Oryctolagus cuniculus: one gene and its partners. The protein of the gene in region 2 binds, or shares a complex with, the protein of the main gene of each other region. Links are inferred from orthologs where the notes say so. Each region holds a gene or a part of one and is shown on either strand. Other genes may lie near its edges. The genes, in order: LAMTOR1, FNIP1, LAMTOR4 and LAMTOR2.

Region 1 (3,998 bases), on a different chromosome or scaffold from region 2:
AAGGACGGTGAAGAGGCTGGGCCTGCCCAGGGTGGAGCGTGCAGGGCAGGAGGAGGTAGCGCTCTGTAAGGAGAGCCGTGGAGCTGTGGGCTGGTCAGCTGGGGCCTGCAGCAGGCAGGCTTGTGGTAGGAGCTGAGATGGACTGGGAAGCGAGCTTTGAGGCATCTGGAGGTCTGGTGCTGGGGGTTCGAGAAGCAGCATTAGCCAGGATGGGCTCCCTTCCCATTTACGGCTTGGGTGGACACCCAGCAGGTCTGCTAATCCGATTCGCAGCTGATACAAAGCCAGCAGGGATTTACGCTCATGGGCTCAAGGCAGGGTTGAATCCAGAGAGAGTACAGTAGATTAGAAGAAAGGCTTGAAACAGGCCAGGGAAATACAATTTTGCAGGAAAAGGGAAACTTGGTTTGGCCCTAGGTCCACTCTGGGCTGTGGCTGGTTGTGATTATCTGCACAGGCTAGCAGGAACAGGCTCCTGAAACTGAAGAGGCTGCTCCAGCCACAAGAGGTGTGGGGGCTTGGAAAGGGAGGCGACAGCTGTACTGCTCAGCTCAGTGCAGGGTTCACCAGGTGCATGCCACTGCTTCTGGGAGGCACATACAGGAGGGCATGCACCTGAGAGAAGGATCCGCCCTCAAGAAGGGAGGACAGCTGTCCTGTGTGACCCAGATCCTGGGCTGAGATTCCTGCCCTGAGGTCACCTGAGGAATGGCCACTGAACTTGCTTTCCTTTGGTGCCTGGGCCTTGTCTGGATTCACCAGGGCCGTCATCTCGGGAGCAGACAGCTCTGCTGGGGAGGGCCTCGTCCTGGGGCCCAGGGGTCGGTTCTTGAGCTCCCGACGTGCACTGACTTCCTTCTAGATCCGACTGTTACGGGCTGTTACACCCCTCTGTCCAGTATCCTTTCTCCACCAAATCCTGGACTGTTTACTGAAGCCCCAGGGCTGTGGCTGAATTCCTGCTTTCTGCCTCTGTCCACCTTTTCAGTGCCTCTAGGACTGCTTGGTTATTCCCCTGTAGTTAACCCTAGGCCACCACCAGTTTGGCACAGCTCCCCACGCAGGCAGAAACTGAGTCTTGCCTGATAGCCCATAGAGTTGGGCACTCAAGCGAGTGCTTATGCTAGAGCTGGGCTGCAGGGAGAGCCCCAGGCAAGTTGGACTAAGGGTCTCCCCCATGGCCTCTCCTAGGATCGAGAGGAGCGGAAGCTGCTGCTGGACCCTAGCAGCCCCCCCACCAAAGCCCTCAATGGAGCTGAGCCCAACTACCACAGCCTGCCTTCCGCTCGCACAGATGAGCAGGCCCTGCTCTCCTCCATCCTCGCCAAGACAGCCAGGTGAGGGTCACAGGCCCGAGCCTGGGGCAGAGTTCCAACGTCCGTCTGTCCATCCGGACTGAAGGCTGGGATAGAGGGAGTTGGCCTAGGACATGGGGAATGGGACAAGGTCATTGAGGAGCTGCGCCTCAAGGCAGGGTGGGGCCACTGGTGTCGGATAGCCCTGGAGTTGGCACCTGGCACTGAGTCATGTTTGTCCCTCTCAAAAACACCTGTCATGTCTTCTCTGTCTCGTCCCCAAAGCAACATCATCGATGTGTCTGCCGCAGACTCCCAGGGCATGGAGCAACATGAGTACATGGACCGGGCAAGGCAGTACAGGTGAGCACTGGCCAGCTGGCTCCCTCAGGCCTTTGGGGCTCTCTCCACCCCAGCCCTGTCCCAGCTTTGCTCAGGCTCACTGTTTGGGTGCAGCCCAGGAGACTGCACACAAATCCCTTGGGCGCCTCAGATGTCCATGTCAGCTTCTGCCCTGTGATAGTCTTGAGAGTGTGCCTAGAGTGAGTTTGTGATCAGCAGAGACCCTGTCTCCCTGTCATCGGCCGGAGGTTAATAGACTTGCCTGGGCTGGGCTGGGGTGGTCAGACTGTGGCCTAACTGCCTTCCCCGCCTTGCTCAGCACCCGCTTGGCCGTGCTGAGCAGCAGCCTGACCCACTGGAAGAAGCTGCCACCGCTGCCGTCTCTAACCAGCCAGCCGCACCAAGTGCTGGCCAGCGAGCCCATCCCCTTCTCCGACTTGCAGCAGGTGAGCTGCCCCTCAGTCTGCCTCCCTTTCCACAGGAGGGTTCGCCCACCCTGCCCCGGGGTAGGTGGAGCAGTGGTGTTAGGAGCGCAGTGGCCTGTGGGCCCTGGCTCACTCCCACCTCGCTCTTTTTAATGTCCTCTTGTCTTTTCGCCCAATCCTTACTCCATCTCACCTCCTTTGTTCTTTTCCCTGGGCCCTTTCCATCCGTGGCTTTCTGTTTGGCCTCCTGTCGCCCATTGCCCCTTGCTCTTCGCTGATTCCCCTCTCACCTGTCTCTGTCCCTCTCCTCCGTCCCCTGTGTCTCAGGTCTCCAGGATAGCTGCTTACGCCTACAGTGCACTTTCTCAGATCCGTGTGGACGCAAAAGAGGAGCTGGTTGTACAGTTTGGGATCCCGTGAAGAGAAGCATCCTTGGACAGCTCTTCTCCTCTCTCCACCCCGCCTCCCCCAGCCCCCAGCCTCACTGCGGCTTATACAGTACCCTAACCTGCTACTAATCACGGAGATGTGGACGAGGAGGAGGAGAGTGAGGCTGGAAGCCTGAGCAAGTGAGGACGGAGCAAGGGAGGGTGGAACCATTTGGGACTGGCTTCAAAGCCCTAGCTAGGGGTGGAGTGGGGGCCAAAAGGACAGGTCCTCGCAGTCACTGGGAAGGTGGAGGTGCCACTGCGGGGGTGGTCACTGGGGCCCAAAGGGTCCCCCTCCCACCCTTCCTCTTGGCCTCAGAGTCACTCCTGTCCCCCTCTCCCTGACTTGGTGCTCACATGCACCTCTAGGGTTTGTGACCAGGGTCTGGATGAGCTTGAATTTGAATGAATTGAGTTTGTCTTTCTAGCACCCTGGGTTTTTACATGTTTGGTCTTTTTTCTTTTTGTTTTTGTTTGTCACCCTCGATAAAGGAAATGTATTCATCTGCGTTGGTTCCGGCCCCTCTGTCCCACCCATCACCCTACTACTTCTGGCTACCCAAGTCTGTGAGCAGTGGGGTGGGGGGCCCCAAGTCTTAGCTGAACCTTGGCCTGGGCTAACCTCAGATTGGATTCGACTGATCTTAAACACAGTCAATGCTGCACAGGCTTGAATCTGAAGCAGCTGTTGACTGTTGAGGGTCCTGCCTCAGGCTCAGTGGGGTCACCGATAGCCACAGGGTTGGGGGTAAACCAAGCTGTCCTGGGAACCCCTGATCTGGAGCCAGCAGGAAATGTTTTTAAGCAGAGATTCTTTGAATCAAATGAGATCTTAGCAGAAGCCTACCATATAAAAGCTAAGGCTGCTGGAAGTAGAGCATTGTGATTGAAGTGGGGAGGTTCTGAGATCACCACCTGTCTTCTGGACCTGCCACACCTGCCACGGGGCCTCTTGGGTGTCTCCTCTGACCTGGCGCTCTGCGAAGAGTTTGGGGATTCAGTGATCGATGCCAACCCCAGGATAACTAAGCTGAAGGGTACAGAGGGACCCTTCCTAAGGCCTTGTGGGAAGCCCAGTCTCCTGTCCTCGCTGCTGGCCTGACACTGTGGAATGCCCAGCACTCCTGGAAGTCACCCGAGTTGGAGGGCATCCCATGAGGCACAAGTGACTTCGCGTCTGCTGAACAGCTCAAAGCATTTATTGTCACACCAAGCTGACCGTCCTCGGGCCTTCAGGACTGCTGCGGTCCGGGGCCTCAGAGTGCGTTCTGCTTGAGCCGGGGCTTCCTGGGCTTGATGTTCATGCGCTTCCAGACTTCAGCTGTGGTGCGGTCTGCTTTGGTGACCCCACTGAAGTCGAATGTGGTGATACGGGGCAGCATACACAGCACATACTGCCTGGTGAGGAGACCCGGGCTGGGGGCCGGCCCCCCATCAGAAGCTCCCTGCCCCGCCCCACCTGCTGCTTTCTCCCTCACGGCAGGGGATGGAGGGACTTAGATCCAGTT
Region 2 (5,290 bases):
TGCCTTTTCATAACTTTCTGAAATTTTTACTCTTTCCTCACCTAGACTGTTATGTTTTTTGACTGCTTTGGATCCCCAGTGCCTAGAACTTAAATGTTTGGAATGAATACATGTATTTCTTAATCATCTATAAATAGTTATTATAAAAATATCAGAACTTAACATAATGACCACTGCCAAATTCTAAATTCTGCCTGTTTTTCTTTTTTCTGTTAGTACCATTTATTTGTAGTTTAAATTCTAGCTGCAAATTGTCTTAGTTGGAGTTGGTAGCCACTCTGAAAACGTTTTAATGCCTAATTAAAAGAAATTTTCAAATAAGCATTTTTTTTTTGACAGGCAGAGTGGATAGAGAGAGAGAAAGGTCTTCCTTTACCGTTGGTTCACCCTCCAGTGGCCGCCACGGCTGGTGCGCTGCGGCCGGCGCACCGCGCTAATCCAAAGGCAGGAGCCAGGTGCTTCTCCTGGTCTCCCATGGGGTGCAGGGCCCAAGCACTTGGGCCATCCTCCACTGCCTTCCCGGGCCACAGCAGAGAGCTGGCCTGGAAGAGGGGCAACCGGAACAGAATCCGGCGACTAGAACCGGGTGTGCCGACGCCCCTAGATGGAGGATTAGCTTAGTGAGCCGGGCGCCGGCTGCATTTTTTTAAATATAGTCTTCCAGCCGTATAGCAGTCATTTCCTGACGTCCACGTTTCTGAGAATTGCAGCCTACTGTACAAAATTCCTCATCCTGGAGTGGAGTGGGGGGATGCATGGGGATGCTGAGAATTTACAATACTGGTTTGATCCAAACCCTGATGTATTTTGATTCCATGGGTTTGTATGACTGTTAATTTATGAGTTGGGGTTGGTGCTGTGGCGTCGCGGGTAAAGCCGCCCCCTGCAGTGCTGGCATTCCCCTATGGGCCCTGGTTCGAGTCCCGGCTGCTCCACCTCCTATCCAGCTCTCTGCTAGGCCCTGGGAAAGCAGTAGAAGATGGCCCAGGTCCTTGGGTCCCTACACCCGCATGGGAGACCTGAAGAAACTCCTGGCTCCTGGCTTCGGATCAGTGCAGCTCTGGCTGTTGTGGCCAATTGGGGAGTGAACCAGCGGATGGAAGACCTCTCTCTCTCCCCTCTCTTTCTCTCTGCCTCTCCTTCTCTCTCTGTCTAACTGCTTCTAACTAACTAAATAAATCTTTAAAAAAATTATGAGTATTTTTTTTAGAAAGCACCCCCCCATCCTTTGGTTAAAATTCCGGTTTCTTCCTTTCCCATCCCTATGCATTGATAGGATTTATTAACATTGTAAACACTGAGCATAAAGGGTCAGGTATTTGTGGGTGTGTGTCCCCTTTCTAGGCTTCCAGTCTTTCTCAGTTTCACTTCAGATTTTATCGGTTACCAAGGGAGCTGGGCTGAACTCCCTACCGCAGTCGCCAGCTCTAATGCCAGGTGTCAGGGTTGCAGGCGCTGGCGGAAACTCCCGGTGCCCTGCCTAGGTCGTCTCGGGAGGACGTCTAGGCAGGTGGACCCCGTAAGCCGGCCTCCGCGCCGTCCCGTCTCGCGGCCGGGGGTTCTCAATGCTGCCACGGTCGCGGCCCCAAGGGTATTAGTGTGCCTGCTCTGCTGCCGGAGCAGCCGGCTCGGCCAGGCGCGAGTTGGAGGGGAGAATCGGCTCAAGTCGGGGGAGTCAGCGGGTGAGCCCGCTGCCTGTGGTACCCCAAACATCTCTATCGTGGAAGTGAGGCGCGGAAGGCTTCTGCATCCCACAGTCCCTGGTGTCGTCACCGCGCCACCTGCCATAGCCTCAGACAGCCACTGACAGCCTCCCATGCAAGCACAGGGACCTGATCACGTCCCTTCCACCCCGGCCATCTTCTCCGCGCACGCCCCGCCCCGCGAGCTGCCACGTGACAGGACCAGACGCCAGCCTATGGGAGCCAGCGCCGCCCCGCACCCCCTCCTGCCCCCTGCTCCGCATGCCGCCACGTGATGCGGCTCCCCGCCAGCCAATAAGCGCGGGGTTTGCCTCGCGCCCCGCCCCGCGCGCCGTGGCCGTTTGAAGTGACTAATTTCTGTCATATGACTGAGGCGCCCATGGGGGTGGCGAGGCGGCTCTAGGAGCGGGGGCCTAGCGAGCGCCCAGCGGAGCGACCCCGGCCTGGCCGTGGCCAGCATGGCCCCTACGTTGTTCCAGAAGCTCTTCAGCAAGAGGAGCGGGCTGGGCGCGCCGGGCCGAGACGCCCGGGACCCGGATTGCGCGTTCAGGTAGGGTGCTGCGGGAAGGGGGGCTCGAAACCGATGGCCTTTTGGGCTCTGGGTTCCAGAGATGGTGGGGCCGTGGGCGTTGAGGCCCGCGCGGCCGGGACCGGGACCCGGTTCGCGGTGGGGTGGGGCCGGTGCGGACTCGGGCTGGAGGCTTGGAGCGAAGTCTTCTCTCCCCACCACCGCCCCGCCGTTGCCCCTTCCCCCTCCTCGGGCTGGTTTGTTTACGTCCCGTCCGCGGCCACGCGTGGCTCTGCCCCTCCGGACGTGGCCCCGCGGCCTGAGGCACGGGGTCCACACGCCTCCTGGCAGCGGGCAGGGCGCGGGCTGCTTTGGACCTGAGCCGCGGTCCTCCCGGCCCAGAACTTCTCCCCTCCTCCCCGTGACCAGTCGCCCTCTGGGCGCTCCATTCCAGCTCTGTTGGCGTCGGGGAGAGGGCAGCACGTTTGGCCAAGCTCCTGGGTGTGCAGAGGGCTGCAGGAGCGAGTAGGCTAGGGGCCGTTCTTTGAGGCTTCTTGGAGACTGAAATTGGAGGCTTGCGGATACCGGACCTTGCGGCTTTCATGTTATTGCAAGAGAAATGGGAAACCCGAGAGGTTAGCCTGACTGCCCACCCAGCTGATGCGGGACCGAATCCCGTGAGGTCTGGCGTTAGGATGGGCCCTAGAATCTTCCCCCTTAGAGCTGTTACTGCACAGGAGGCCACAAGTTGAAGACTGTGGCAGAAGGTTTTGTGGCATTACAAGCTTTGTTAATTTTTGGTTGCAGTACTTGTTGCTGGTTGAATAACTTTTTAGAATTGTAAGATTTGATGTAAAGCTGGATTCAGGGTCACAATTACTCGTGAAACTTCATATGAAGAGATGTTGTGTCTTCGACACAGCTTTCCTATCTGTTGTAGCCTGGAAACTTGCAAATGTAACCTGGCTACATGTCGAATATCCCTCAAACTTATTACATAGCAGAGAGCCTGGTTGTACAATAGCTGTAGGAAAAAATGAGAATCTCGAATCTTCCAGCAGGCCGAAGTGAGAAGGATTGCGGCACACTAGTTTTAGAAGTTTTGAATCTAAAGTTATTCAGCCTTTCTTGCTAATGCGGGTCACATCAGAAAACGCTCTGTAAATACATGTGGAATTGAAATAGGAAATGGAAAGAAGTTAACTGGTAGAGGAAAAAAAGGCAGTTTTCTAGGTATCGGTCTTTTCCACTGTGAGGGAGATGTCTTACCATGCTCATCTGACTTTTTCTAGACATTACTTTAGTATTTTTCCTTTGAAAAATGAAAGTACAGTCTGTGTCAATACTACACGGACACACGTAGTAACTCAGGAGATAGTAGGAAGCAGGTTCTGGAAAGATATTTCAAAGGTGACATTTGAACAGACAGCACCTTTCTATTTCTGAGCAAAGGCTGACTTTGGGCACCCAAGTTTACAGTGGTCTCAAGTCACTCGTGAGAACACATTTTCCTGTCTACTCTCTAAAAATGTAAAGTCTGCTGTATGGTTGTGTAATACTACTATAAAGTTGCCAAAGAACTTTCTCATCGGTTATCTTGTTTGATGTTTCACAACAACCTTGTGAGATAGGGCAAGTGGCAATATAGATAACTGTTATCATTTTTTCCAGTGGAAGTAAGAATTGTGTATAAGCCCAGTAATGGGCAGTGCACGAGGGAGGCATTTCCTTTATTTATTTGTAAAGCAGGTTGACAGACACACACACACACACACAGACAGGTTTTCCATCAACTGATTCACTCCCTAAACGGCCACAACAGCCAGGGCTGGACCAGATGAAAGCCTGGTTCTCCCACATGAGTGTCGGAGACCCAAGTACTTGAGCCATCACCTGCTACCTCCCAGGGTCTGCATACGCTGGCAGCTGGAATCAGAGGCAGAGCAGGGACTCCAGCTCGGGCACTTTGACGTGGGATGTTGGCATCCTAAGGAGCGATTTCACCAGTGCACCAGATATTCACCCCAAGCAACTTCTTAGAAAATAAAATGTGTGCAAGTGTACATGTGAGAAAATGGAAACTCTGGTTAACATCACATAGCTAGTAACTTGCAGATCTCATTAACCAAATTTTTTTAAACAACCTTATTGAATTATAATTTATACAAAATAAAATTACATTTTAAATGTCCTGTTGTGTTTTCTTTTGTATAGACTCAGTTGTGTGTGCACCATTCCAGTGAAGCTTGGGAACATGTCCATCCCCCTAAAATTTGATTTGTGCGCTTTGCAGTCGGTCTGTATCTTCTCGTCACCTGGGGTCGTCACTGATCTGCTTTCTGTCATCATACTTTTAACCTTCCTGGAGTTTTATATAAACAAAATCATACTGTATAGAGTTTTTTTTTTTTTTAAGATTTATTTATTTTATTTGAAAGGCAGAGTTACAGAGAGGCAGAAGCAGAGAGTGAGTGAGAAAGGTCTTCATCCGCTGGTTCACTCCTCAAATGGCCACAGCAGCCAGAGCTGAGCCGATCCAAAGCCAGGAGCCAGGAGCTTCTTCTGGGTCTCCCATGTGGGTGCAGGGGCCCAAGGATTTGGGCCATCTTCTACTGCTTTCCCAGGCCATAGCAGAGTGTTGGATCAGAAGTGGAGCAGCTGGGGCTTAAACCAGCACCCATATGGGATGCCGGCACTGCAGGCAATGGCTTTACCACTCTGCTGGTCCCACTGTATAGCCTTGTATTTGGCTCATTTTCACACAGAATGATGACTTTGACTTAGCCGTGTTGTTGCATCTGTCAGTAGTTTCATTAATCCTTCCTTTCATTGCTGAATGGTGTGTGTTGTACACACCACAATTATTTACTCATTCACTAGTTGGAAGAAATTTGTGTTGTTTCCAGATAGGGGTTTTGTGAACTGTGCTGCTGTGAATAGTTTTTTTTTTTTTTTTTTTTTTTTTTTTTTTTTTTTTGACAGAGTTAGACAAGTTAGACAGAGACAGAGAGAAAGGTCTTCCTTCTGTTGGTTCACCCCCCAAATGGCTGCTATGGCCGGCGCACTGCGCCAATCTGAA
Region 3 (5,366 bases), on a different chromosome or scaffold from region 2:
CAGACGCAAGTTTATTGGGAGGGAGGGAAGGACGACAGAGGTCCCCTTGCCTCCATTCTCTGAAACACAGCAGTCTCCAAGCCTCTGCCTTTCCACAGGGGTGGGACGGCGGGTGAGCAGAAGACCTTAGTTCTAGCAGCAAGCCAAGAGAGGCGGACGACGTGTCTGTCTTCCTCGTCCAAGGCCCCCGGCCCGCGGCCCCACATCCACTGCTCTGACCCTCACCCTCGGGCAGGCTCAGACGTCAATGGGCTCCCGGCCTCGGTTCTGCCTCTTCACCACAAACACCCTCTGTCCCGACACAGTCACCAGCAGCGTGTGCTCGCCAAAGACCACTGGAGGGGAGACACACCTTCCCCCGCCCCAGGGGAGGGAAGGGAGCATGGTTAGCGGGTGCCATGCACGGGGCCAATCTCCAAGGGAAGGAAGTGGCTGAGCCAGGGACCCCAGGAGGTGCTGGGAAGAAGCAAGGTGTCTTCCCTGAGAAGCCTCTAGAGGTACCCCCACCACCACGGCAGGGGCTGGGGCTCACCGGACAGGCGCTTGAAGGGAACGTTCATGCCATGGTGCAGCCGGAATCCGCAGGCCGTGCTGACCAGCTCTGAGATGGCACTGGCTGCCTGCTCGTCATTCTCCAGGTCCCCGGACGACTGCATGCAGAGGGGGGGAGGTGACAGAGGTGAAGGCACAGGGTCTCCCTTCCTATCTGCCCAACGAATGGACCTAAAACTTCCCTGCGGGTCACCCGCCTCGGGCTACCCCGTTGCTCATCCCTACCATCCTGGGCCTCCCTCATGAGAGATGCCCTCAGCCCTTCCCAGACAGTTCTCGAACCCCTTCAGAGTGGATTTCTCGCCCTGTCCACGGTCTCCACCATCAGTGCCTACCCACCACGGGCTTGTTCAGTGCTCTGCTTTCCCCCGCTGCTCGGTCTGCAGAATCTAAAACACACACCGCCTCTGTGGAACCCCTCCCTGCCCCTCGCCCCCTGGGGAAGTGCGGATGGTGGCCTGGGCTTCCTCTTTTCCGGTGACTCAACTTCCTCCCACCTCACTGACTCGAGCCTCCTCCCACTAAGTTACGCTTATTTCCCTTGGTTCTTAGACACCTGTACCTCAGTCTTCGCATCCCTAAATTGGGGACACCGATCTCTATCTTTTAGGCTTGTGAGGATTACGTGGAGGCACTGAGAACAACTCATATTAGTTGCTATTCTGTATCAAATTTGGTGCCTAAAGTCAGGCCATCAAAATTCCCCTTATCCACTGCCCCCAGTCAACCTCCTTTCTTGATGTCCTGTTTGGGAAACACTTTTTTTTTTTTTTTTTTTTTTTTTTTACAGGCAGAGTGGACAGTGAGAGAGAGACAGAGAGAAAGGTCTTCCTTTGCCGTTGGTTCACCCTCCAATGGCCACTGCGGCTGGCGTGCTGCGGCTGTCCCACCGCGCTGATCCGAAGGCAGGAGCCAGGTGCTTCTCCTGGTCTCCCATGGGGTGCAGGGCCCAAGTACATGGGCCATCCTCCACTGCACTCCCGGGCCACAGCAGAGAGCTGGCCTGGAAGAGGGGCAACCGGGACAGAATCCGGTGCCCCGACCAGGACTAGAACCCGGTGTGCCAGCGCCGCAAGGCGGAGGATTAGCCTAGTAAGCCACGGCGCCGGGCTGGGAAACACTTCTTCCAGGCTTCTGAGTTCAAACTCTGGACAGAGAAATGTCTCCTCTACTTCTTATCTAGTCACTACCAAGATTCCTCTAAAACCTCTTCACTCCTGCTCCTCACTGCCACCAGCCTGGGCATCCCCCTGCCAGCACCGTCCTCACACCACTAACAGAACAATCCTGCTCAGCCCTTCCGTTGGGTCACATTTCTGTTAAAAACAACAACAAAAAACTTCAAGGCTCCTATAAGATTAGGTCTAGAGGCGTTTAACACCGTGGCCTTGGAAGTCCTCCATGGCGGGATCTTTTCCTTACCGTATCCTTGTCTTTCCCCAAATCTTTTCAACACGAACCCACCACCAATTCGCCAGGCAGCGTCCACCCCTGCAAATGTGTTCCCTTCCCGGCCCTGAACACTCTTCTGCTCACCTACAACCGCCCCTGCTGTGCGCTCAGCTGAATTCCCCCGAGAAATCTGCCCAACTCAGGTTCTCCTGCGGAGCCCAGGCGTGGTTTTCTGAACCCCTTCAACAGTCTCTCCCACTTGCGTTGCTTTCCACCTTGGACCTGAAGCCTTGTCTTTCTACCTAGTGCAGAAGCGTCGAGAGCGCTAACCCCATAAATAATAAAATAAAAATAGGCTAGAGGAACACGTAGGTAGGGTCAGCTATCCACAAACCTATACCTAGCGTGTGCCTTTGGTTCAAAGTTAGTAACTTAGTGCAAAACGGATGCGAGCCCAAGCCTCCACGGACTGGGGACTGACTGCAAGCTCCCTATGGCAAAGGCAGAGAACAGGGACACTTAAGCTAGGCTGGGCCCTGTGTGCTCCCCCAGGACGCACCGCCAGCACCGCGCCTTCGCTCAGCACCAGGTAGCCGAGCTGGTCTGGGATTCGCTCCAGCCCCTGGGTCAGCGCCGAAGTCTAGTGGGTAAAGATGCAAGCAGTGAAAAGCGAGCCGGCACGAAGGCCCGCTCCGGACGACGGCTGCAGGCTGCCCCTCGCCCCCGCCAGGGCCCCTCTACGCGGCCTCCACCTCTGAGGCTCCAGAGCCTCCGTCAGCACCCACTCTCGGCCCCCCACATCCCACCTTCGCCACCCAAGCAGTCTCCGCAGCCCCGCTGGCCCTTCTGCCCAGCCCCTCCTACCCCGCCCCGACCCGCAGGGAACTTCCCAGCCCCGAATGCCCTCCCACAGATCCCTCTCGGCCCGGGGCGGACTCGCGGTGAGGGTGGGGTACAGGCCCAGGAGGGGGCCACCCAGGACCGGGGAACCTGGACAGGGAAGCCCGGGCGCTCACTCCTGCGCATGCGCCCTCACTCACCATCGCAGCCTTAAGGTGCCTGAGGAGCTGCCTACGAGACAGGTGGCTTCCGGCTGCAGGCCCGGGTCACGTGTTTCCACCAGACGGACTCCTCCCTCCCCTCAGCGACGCCGAACTTCAGCCCCGCCCCCAGCGTGTGGATTGGAGCGTGGCTACGTCATCAGACTTGATCAGCCGGTGTGGAGAGCCGCTTTCCGGAGGCGCGCGTGGATTGGTCGCATACACTTTTTACCATTTGTTCCCCCGCCCCTCAGGCGGGGCGGGGCGGGGCAGGAAGGGAAAAGCGTCCGCGGAGAGGGGGCGGAGCTCTGAATGTGCGCGTGCGCGTGCGCCTGCATGCGGGCCCGCGTCGACCTGGTCTAGACTGCCCCCTAGTGGCTAAGAGAGTCGTCTCCTGGGTTTAAGACTTCCCAACCTTGGGCGGCGCCGCGGCTCACTAGGCTAATCCTCCGCCTTGCGGCGCCGGCACACCGGGTTCTAGTCCCGGTCGGGGCGCCGGATTCTGTCCCGGTTGCCCCTCTTCCAGGCCGGCTCTCTGCTGTGGCCAGGGAGTGCAGTGGAGGATGGCCCAAGTGCTTGGGCCCTGCACCCCATGGAAGACTAGGATAAGTACCTGGCTCCTGCCATCGGATTAGCTCGGTGCGCCGGCTGCAGCACGCCGGCCACTGGAGGGTGAACCAACGGCAAAGGAAGACCTTTCTCACTGCCCACTCTGCCTGTCAAAAAAAAAAAAAAAAAAAAAAAAAAAAAAAAAAAACGACTTCCCAACCCTAAAAGGAGAGATTGAAATGAAATATTGAAGTGCATGTGAAAAATTATTCAAATGCTACTTAAAAAAAAAAAACAACCCTACCCAGTTTAAGGGCCGACTTAATGAACTGATATCCCAAATCAGAATGCAGACTCACTTGGAGCATTGAATACTGAAGATGCTACCTAGAGGCAGACCTGTTGTGAGAAATCAACATTCAAAACAGCAGCGGGAAGGCCTGGGGCACTTGATTAGCATCACTAAACATGATCTGGAAGACGTCACATTGGTCGAACACTGATTGAAAGAAACCACATCAGAGGTGGTTTTTAGCCCACAGTTCACAAACCTGTGTTAGAGGTTTGTCAGCTGGGTCCTGCTGCAGTATCAGGAAACAGCCTTCCCTTGCTTGGTTTTTTTGAGAAGGTTTGACAAATTACTGTCAATCAGGAGCCAGCGCTGTGGCAGCAGATTAACGCCCGGGCCTGAAGCACTGGCATCCCATATGGGCGCCAATTCCAGTCCCAGATGCTCCTCTTCGGATCCAGCTCTCTGCTGTGGCCTGGGAAAGCAGTGGAAGATGGCCCAGGTCCTTGGGCCCCTGCACCTGCATGGGAGACCCGGAAGAAGCTCCTGGCTTCGAATGGGCTCCAGCCATTGCGGCCATCTGGGGAGTGAACCAGCAGATAGAAGACCTCTCTCTCTGTCTCTACCTCTCTCTGTAACTCTTTTTCAAATAAAATTAATCTTAAAAAAAAAAAATCACTGCCAATCAAGCTGAATTAACAGTCACCTCACAGCTCTTCAAAAATAAATTTTGAAAGGTTTATTGTTACGCCCAGTTCAGTTGTTCCCAAAGACCACCAAGGAGCCGATACCGCTGTAAAGCGCACGAGAGTTTTATTGCAGGTCCGGGCCTGGACTCTCAATCAACACCGACATAGCGGGCCTGAAATGAGAGCCCCGACCCTTCAGTTAACAGGGTTTTTATAGGGTTTCAGAGACATTCTATACATCATGGTTCCATTTAGCAAATCATCTCATCCTGCAGGAAATTCAAAGAACATCTCTTAGAATTGATTCGTGCATCCAGTGGCGGGAACGGACCTACTAAAGGTGGTTGGATGGCTTTGGGGTTGATGCCTTTTGAATTGATTGGCCGAAGCATAGGGTCCGAGCTGCTGGGGTGTATGTGCGGAACTACAGGGTCTCAGGTAGCTATCAATCACCTTATCTGCCCTGAGAAGACACCAGGAACTCTAGGTGTTTCTCTGTTATCTGCTAATTGGCTGTTGCTAGGAGAGTTTATCTCAAGGGGAATTCATTTATTTACTTTTAAGAGCTTCTGGCTTAGGGTTCAGGGCCTGGTCAGGCCCAAGTTACAAGATGGAGGCCTAATTTAAAATAGTTACACCTTGATCCAGGCTCAGGTCTCACATTCCCCCCTTCTACTGGTAACTATGGGGACCAATCATGGTCCCCTTCTGCCCACTTTAATGGCCTGCTCATCTAGGGGCTAGTATTGATTTCACAGGACCATCAACTGTACAGTGCTGACCCTTGTCTTCTAGTCAGGGTCTATAACAAAGGACAGAAAGATGCTAGGCCAAATAGAAACTGACAGAAGGGGC
Region 4 (5,449 bases), on a different chromosome or scaffold from region 2:
CCCAGAATGGCCACTGACCTCTCAGGGTCTGATATGCTCTTGTCCAGCCTGTGCCAGGAGCCCACTCCCAACAAGGTTGCCAACCAGGTAGCTAAGAATCTGCTGTGACCTCACCAGGGTAGGTGAGGTCACAGCACTGGAGAGGCCAGGAGAGCTGAGGCACCTCTGCCAAGAACCATTTGGTAGCGGGAGGTCACAGGGAAGGTGCAGGTGGACGCCCATTCTTGCAGAACACAGGACACCCTGTACGTGGCCCCTGCTCCTTCCTGCCTCCTATGATTCTTCCCATCCAAAAAAAAAAAAAAAGCCAAGACACAAGACAGGAGCTGAATTTCATTCTTGAACAACAACAACAACAAATCAAAAACCACAGTCCCGCCCTCCCCCCATGGTCTCTATGATGCTGACCCCATTCTGACCCCAGCTTCCACCAATGTCCATTATGATGCAGCTACTTGGGTCAGGGGCTCCTCCAGGTACTGCACCAAGGCCTGGGCCTGCAAGAGGGGGGGAAGAAGTCAGTGTCGCAGATGCCTGCCACTTGACGGATCCCAGTTCTACTCCCAAGGCCGCCCCTCAACCACTCCCACCTCCCTCCTGCCCACATCAGACACTAATTGAGCTGACGGAAGGACTTGAGAGCGGTGCGGTGCTGTGGGTGGGAGTGGACACAGTGACGGAGCACAACAGCGGGCCCACAGCTGCGGCAGGATGGACATGTACACACCTTGGCCTTGAGCATGCCGAAGCCCACGGTCTCCTTGGCATACATACACAGCAGAAGGTTGGCCACGCGGGTGATGGCTACACGGCCCTCCTGGTAGGGGATATGATGGGATGGGATGTTCTGTTTGACACTCACAGGACCCGCCTTCCCCGAGGGTTCCTGACTTAAAATGTATGTCTCGTCTGGGTTGCAGTCACATTTGAAAGTTACTGCTTTAAATAGCACCAGCTCCAGCTAGGCACCCATAGGAGTCACCTGCTGAGCCAAAATGGCAGTGGTGAGGTCAGGGGGGGCAGGCAGCCAAGTTACAGTGGAGACCCTTCCTGGTGCACGCACCCTTGCAATCTGTTCATTTTGGTTCTGCAAACCTTTACTAGGTGTCCGCTGTGTGCTGGGAACCAGGCACCACAGCCCCTGTCTTTCTGGTCCTATCTCCTGCTACCCTCCCGCGACTCAGGCCAAGCTTGCTGATCCTAGTCCAGGCCCCACTCTGTCACAGGACCTTGGTACTTGCTGCTCTGTCAGAGGGCCACATGACTGGACCCCCACCACCCTCTGTCCTTTGATCAAACATCGCCTTTTCAGTGACACTGGCCCTAACACACGCCCTCCATACCCTCTTACTTCCCTGCTTTGTTTTTCTCCATTGCATTTCATACGGTCCAGACCAGATAGTCTGCTTATTTTAAAACACATGTAAGGTTGTAAGCTCCACCAGGAATGGGGTTTTTGTCTGTCCTGTCTGTATGCCCCCTCTAGTCCTAAAAGTCCTGCAGGACCTAAATGGTCGTCACCTAAGAGATTCAGAGAGGAGCGAAGCAGTCCCTGTTCCCAAGAAAGTCACAGTGTAATGGCCACTTCTCCTGTCCGGGTCTGGAGACTCCGCCATGGCCCTGCAAGTCGGTGGCGCTGGGTGGACACGCTCTGCGTCTGAACAGCTCTCTACGGTGTAGACCCATTCTTTCATTTGATTGTCAACAGTCCCGAGGTGGGGGAGGATGGCTCATCACCTCCTGCTTGGAGATGAGGGAAGTGACTTACCCAAGGTTTCACCACTGCTAAGTGCATGGCAGAGACCAGAACCCAAGTCAGACCTGAGGTCCGGGGCTCCTTCCTCACCACCGCTGGGTGCTCCCGGGCCTGCCTATCGCAAACGCTGCTGCAGGACCAACTCTTAGCAATCTCTCGGAGATTCTGTCCCTGCCCCAACAATCATCCAGGATGGGGGCCAGTTCGCCCCCTGGGAATCCCCTTGGTGGATGGAGGAAGTCTGGCTCCCCTCTCTCCGTACCATGCAGTCCATGAGGATGAATTTAAGGTTGTCTTCGTTAAACGCCTGGTTCCCGTTTCGGTCATAAGCTGCCCAGATGTTACTCGCGATGGCCGCGGTGACCCGGGCGTCCGTGTCTCCATAACCCGAGTAGGCCAGCAGCGATCCCTCGTTATTCAGCAGCCTGGCGAGAGACAAGGATGGGATGTCGACATGCTCAAACGCCTGGGTCCCCGCCCCGACGCCCGTATCACTGGCGCTCCTACGAGGCAAGGGGCTGAGCTGAGCGTGTCCCGGAAGGCGTCCCGAGCCCCCAGCACGCTGGCTTCCCTTTCCAGAGGCGCGCTCTCGGTCAGCTGCGGGTCCCCTCGGCCGCCTCCCTTCCCCGCCCCACTCCGCTGCCGCCGCACGGGTCCACGGCCCGCACTCACAGGGTGCTCTGGACGCCTCCGGTGTTGGCTTGGCTTAGCACCTGGGTCAACGCCTTGGGACGCAGCATGCCAGCGGCTCGTCACCCAGCCTTTAAATCCCAGATCCTCCGAGCGGCGTCCCGCTTAGCCGCGGCCTGCGGCTTCCGGCAGTGCAGCGACCCGCTCGGGAACGCCCTGGGAGTTGTAGTTTTCCGACCCCGTGACAGCTGCTCTGGCCCCACCCCGCTCAGCCGCGGAGGGACTGGGAATCGTAGTTCCTGTGGTCTCGCAAGGCACACTGGGAACTGTAGTTCGCCTCCTCAGCTAGACCACGCGGTCGTGGGGGAAAAGAGCGGGAGTGGAAGGGCAATGTGGCAGGGTTGGGAGGACGTTTAACCCCTTGGCGGAGAGAGGTCATCATGGCCGCTTGGCTACTCACGAAGCGATAATAGTAGTAATAAATCCTCGTATTTGTCGGGCACAGCCTGGGTTACTTCTCAGAGCGGTTTTCTACGTTAGGCACTATTCTGTGGGATGAGGCAAGAGATTCTGTTTTCTTGAAACCGAGGCTGGAACGGTGACGCCGGCAACACCCAGTTCTCGCACCGTACAGAACAGGCCATTCAGGCCGTGGGCATCGGGAGCAACAGGGTCACTCCCTGAGTGGAGGCTTTAAGTGGACGTCCCGCGGGGAGAAAATTCAGACTCCCGGTGGAGCGAGGCCCCAGGCCTGGAAAGGAACTTGCACCGCCCAGGGAAGACCAAGTTATCACAGAAAAAGCGGCCACGCAGAAAGTCCTTTGTCCGGGAGCAGGAGTAACCGCGGAGGGGAGGGGGCGGCCCGGGGTCGCAGGGCACGGCGGCGAGGCTCGGGCCGGGCGGGGGTCTCTCGCAGGCCCCCGCCGTGAAGGACACGCCCTCCGCGCCCAGAGGCCCTCGCCACCCAGGCCGCGTCCCGGCGGCCGGACCCCAGGCCGGGCCCTGGGCGGACCCCGCTGCAGTGGCCCCCCCAGTCCGCCCGGGGCGCTGTGGCTGCGGCGGGTCCGGAGGGGGCGGCGGAGCCGCGGCGAGGGGAGGGGAGAGGGGAGTGTTGGAGGCGCCGAGCCGAGCCGGGCCGGCCGGCGGGCGGGGAGGAGGAGGAGGAGGAGGAGCCGGGCGGGCTGGCGGGCGGCCGGGTGGCGGCGGCGGCATGGCGGAGCCGAGCGGGGCCGAGACGAGGCCCCCCATTCGGGTCACCGTCAAGACCCCCAAGGACAAGGAGGAAATTGTGATCTGCGATCGAGCCTCGGTCAAGGAGGTAGTAGGGCTAGCGGCGGGCGGGGGGGGAGCGGAGAGGGAGTGCGGAGGAGGGGGCTACGAAGAAACGGGGCGGGGGGCCTCCGTGACTGCCTGGCGTCCGGGACGGCCCCGGGGAGGAGGGCGGGGGCCGGCGGGGACTCGCGTGGGCAGGAGAGGCGGATATGGGGCGCCCTGCGCGGGCGGGTCTGGGGGAGTGTGGCGCGTGCTGGGGGGAGCGGGCTTTGCACTGGAGCCGGGGCTGGGGGCGTGGTGGAAGAGTGGGTAAGGGGACACCTTGCGCCGGCCCCCGGGAAGCACCCTGGGGCTGAGGGGAGTGTGCGCCCCTGGAACTGGCCGGGGTTCGAGGCGCCGAGGCGCAGTGGCGGCCCCGGCTAGGTGCTGGACCCGTAGAGCGGGTAGGGGGCAGGCGGAGAGCGCCCGCGTCTCCTGTGTGGCCCGGAGAACGCCCAGAGTCCGCCGAACGCAGGGCGCGGGGTGGGGTGGAGGATGTTCTCTGCCCTAGATCCTTCCTGCTCTTTAAGCCCGAGGTGGTCACACTTGGTTTTCAGCTCTTCTGAGATTTGCACAGTGTGCAGTAGGTGCTCCATAAGGTTTTGTTGAATGAGGGACTCTTGCCTGCGTTCGCCACCCCCCTGTAGTTGCTCCAGAATTTCACATAGGCGGGGCTTCAGGATGGGCCATCTGGTTGGAAGAGAGGGATTTGGAAGCTCCCTTTGCTTATTAGCAAGTGCGCCTTTTCTACTCGGAGTGTGCGTTGGGTTGGGTTGGGCTTTGCAGGGACTGAGAATTGAACTCTCCCAGCAGTATAAAATGACTGAATTCCAGAAGAGGGGTCCCTGCAAAGCTGACTTTGAAAACAGCTGGAATTGAGAGGCAAGAGTGTCTGGTCAAGACCTGAGTTCCAATCTGCCCAGGATGTTACCTAAGCTCCCTGCTCTTCCGTTTTCTGATCTTGAACACGGAGTTAATAATGAAAATACCGGACCATTAACTCGTGCCTGGTTCGTGCTCAGTGGCTGGACCTTGTTGTTGCTGTTGTTGAGAGAGCTGGAAGTCAGGAGAGGCGGGACGCTGGAGCGGGGAGAGGAGAAGGCTGAAGAAGCGCCAGGCCGTAGAAGGAGTTGATGGGGCAGTTGCTCAGTCTGGGGTACAGATAGCTGTGAGGGCTTCCTCGGGTGGGAGACTGGGATGGCGCTGAGAGAGGAGCCTCTGACTGGCTTATCTTCCTGGTTAAGAAAGAAGCTCCCTGGGAGGCAGCAGGCGGCAGCTCAAGTCCTTACCTCTCACATGGGAGACCTGGGTTGAGCTTCTGGCTCCTGGCTTCAGCCTAGCCCAGCCCCTGCTATTGCAAGCACTTGGGGGGTGAACCTGTGGCTGGGAGCTCTGTTTGCTCTGTTTGTCTCTCTCTCTCAAATAAGTAAACAAAACTTAAAGCAGGTAAGACACCTGTTGGGATGTCCACAGTCCATTTTGGAGTGCCTGGCCTGGCTCCATTGCCAATTCCAACTTCCTTCTCATGTGCACCCTGGAAAGCAGCAGGTGCTAACTCAGGTGGCTGGGTCCCTGCCACCCACCTGGGAGACCTGGATTGAGTTTCCAGCTCCCAGCTTCTGCCTGACCCAGCCCTGACTGTTGGGGACATTTGGGGAGTGAACCAGTGGCTGTCTGTCTCTGTCTTTCAAATAAATAAGATAAATAAACTAACGGGGTGGGGGGCTGCTTATCGAAGCTGGAGGGGTGGGG

What was found.
Region 1: FNIP1 (region 2) and LAMTOR1 share a complex: the UniProt entries of both Homo sapiens proteins name them as parts of the lysosomal folliculin complex. The link is inferred for Oryctolagus cuniculus from reciprocal best matches to the Homo sapiens genes FNIP1 and LAMTOR1.
Region 3: FNIP1 (region 2) and LAMTOR4 share a complex: the UniProt entries of both Homo sapiens proteins name them as parts of the lysosomal folliculin complex. The link is inferred for Oryctolagus cuniculus from reciprocal best matches to the Homo sapiens genes FNIP1 and LAMTOR4.
Region 4: FNIP1 (region 2) and LAMTOR2 share a complex: the UniProt entries of both Homo sapiens proteins name them as parts of the lysosomal folliculin complex. The link is inferred for Oryctolagus cuniculus from reciprocal best matches to the Homo sapiens genes FNIP1 and LAMTOR2.

What each region holds. Positions count from the first base shown.
Region 1 is NC_091432.1:63,578,774-63,582,771, reverse strand, and holds the end of LAMTOR1 (ragulator complex protein LAMTOR1), read left to right. Parts: intron 1-1,191; coding exon 1,192-1,337; intron 1,338-1,580; coding exon 1,581-1,658; intron 1,659-1,956; coding exon 1,957-2,083; intron 2,084-2,389; coding exon 2,390-2,482; 3' UTR 2,483-2,994; downstream 2,995-3,998. Other genes in the region: LRRC51 (leucine-rich repeat-containing protein 51), read right to left, coding at 3,747-3,906. UniProt on the Homo sapiens protein: Key component of the Ragulator complex, a multiprotein complex involved in amino acid sensing and activation of mTORC1, a signaling complex promoting cell growth in response to growth factors, energy levels, and amino acids.
Region 2 is NC_091437.1:20,417,167-20,422,456, reverse strand, and holds the start of FNIP1 (folliculin-interacting protein 1), read left to right. Parts: upstream 1-2,031; 5' UTR 2,032-2,161; coding exon 2,162-2,253; intron 2,254-5,290. UniProt on the Homo sapiens protein: Binding partner of the GTPase-activating protein FLCN: involved in the cellular response to amino acid availability by regulating the non-canonical mTORC1 signaling cascade controlling the MiT/TFE factors TFEB and TFE3.
Region 3 is NC_091450.1:42,481,107-42,486,472, reverse strand, and holds the start of LAMTOR4 (ragulator complex protein LAMTOR4), read right to left. Parts: upstream 3,271-5,366; 5' UTR 2,988-3,270; coding exon 2,985-2,987; intron 2,585-2,984; coding exon 2,504-2,584; intron 651-2,503; coding exon 533-650; intron 353-532; coding exon of another isoform or gene 336-352; coding exon 238-335; 3' UTR 1-237. UniProt on the Homo sapiens protein: As part of the Ragulator complex it is involved in amino acid sensing and activation of mTORC1, a signaling complex promoting cell growth in response to growth factors, energy levels, and amino acids.
Region 4 is NC_091438.1:42,634,352-42,639,800, forward strand, and holds LAMTOR2 (ragulator complex protein LAMTOR2), read right to left. Parts: upstream 3,355-5,449; 5' UTR 2,497-3,354; coding exon 2,429-2,496; intron 2,182-2,428; coding exon 2,019-2,181; intron 818-2,018; coding exon 728-817; intron 498-727; coding exon 441-497; 3' UTR 323-440; downstream 1-322. Other genes in the region: UBQLN4 (ubiquilin-4), read left to right, coding at 3,597-3,704. UniProt on the Homo sapiens protein: As part of the Ragulator complex it is involved in amino acid sensing and activation of mTORC1, a signaling complex promoting cell growth in response to growth factors, energy levels, and amino acids.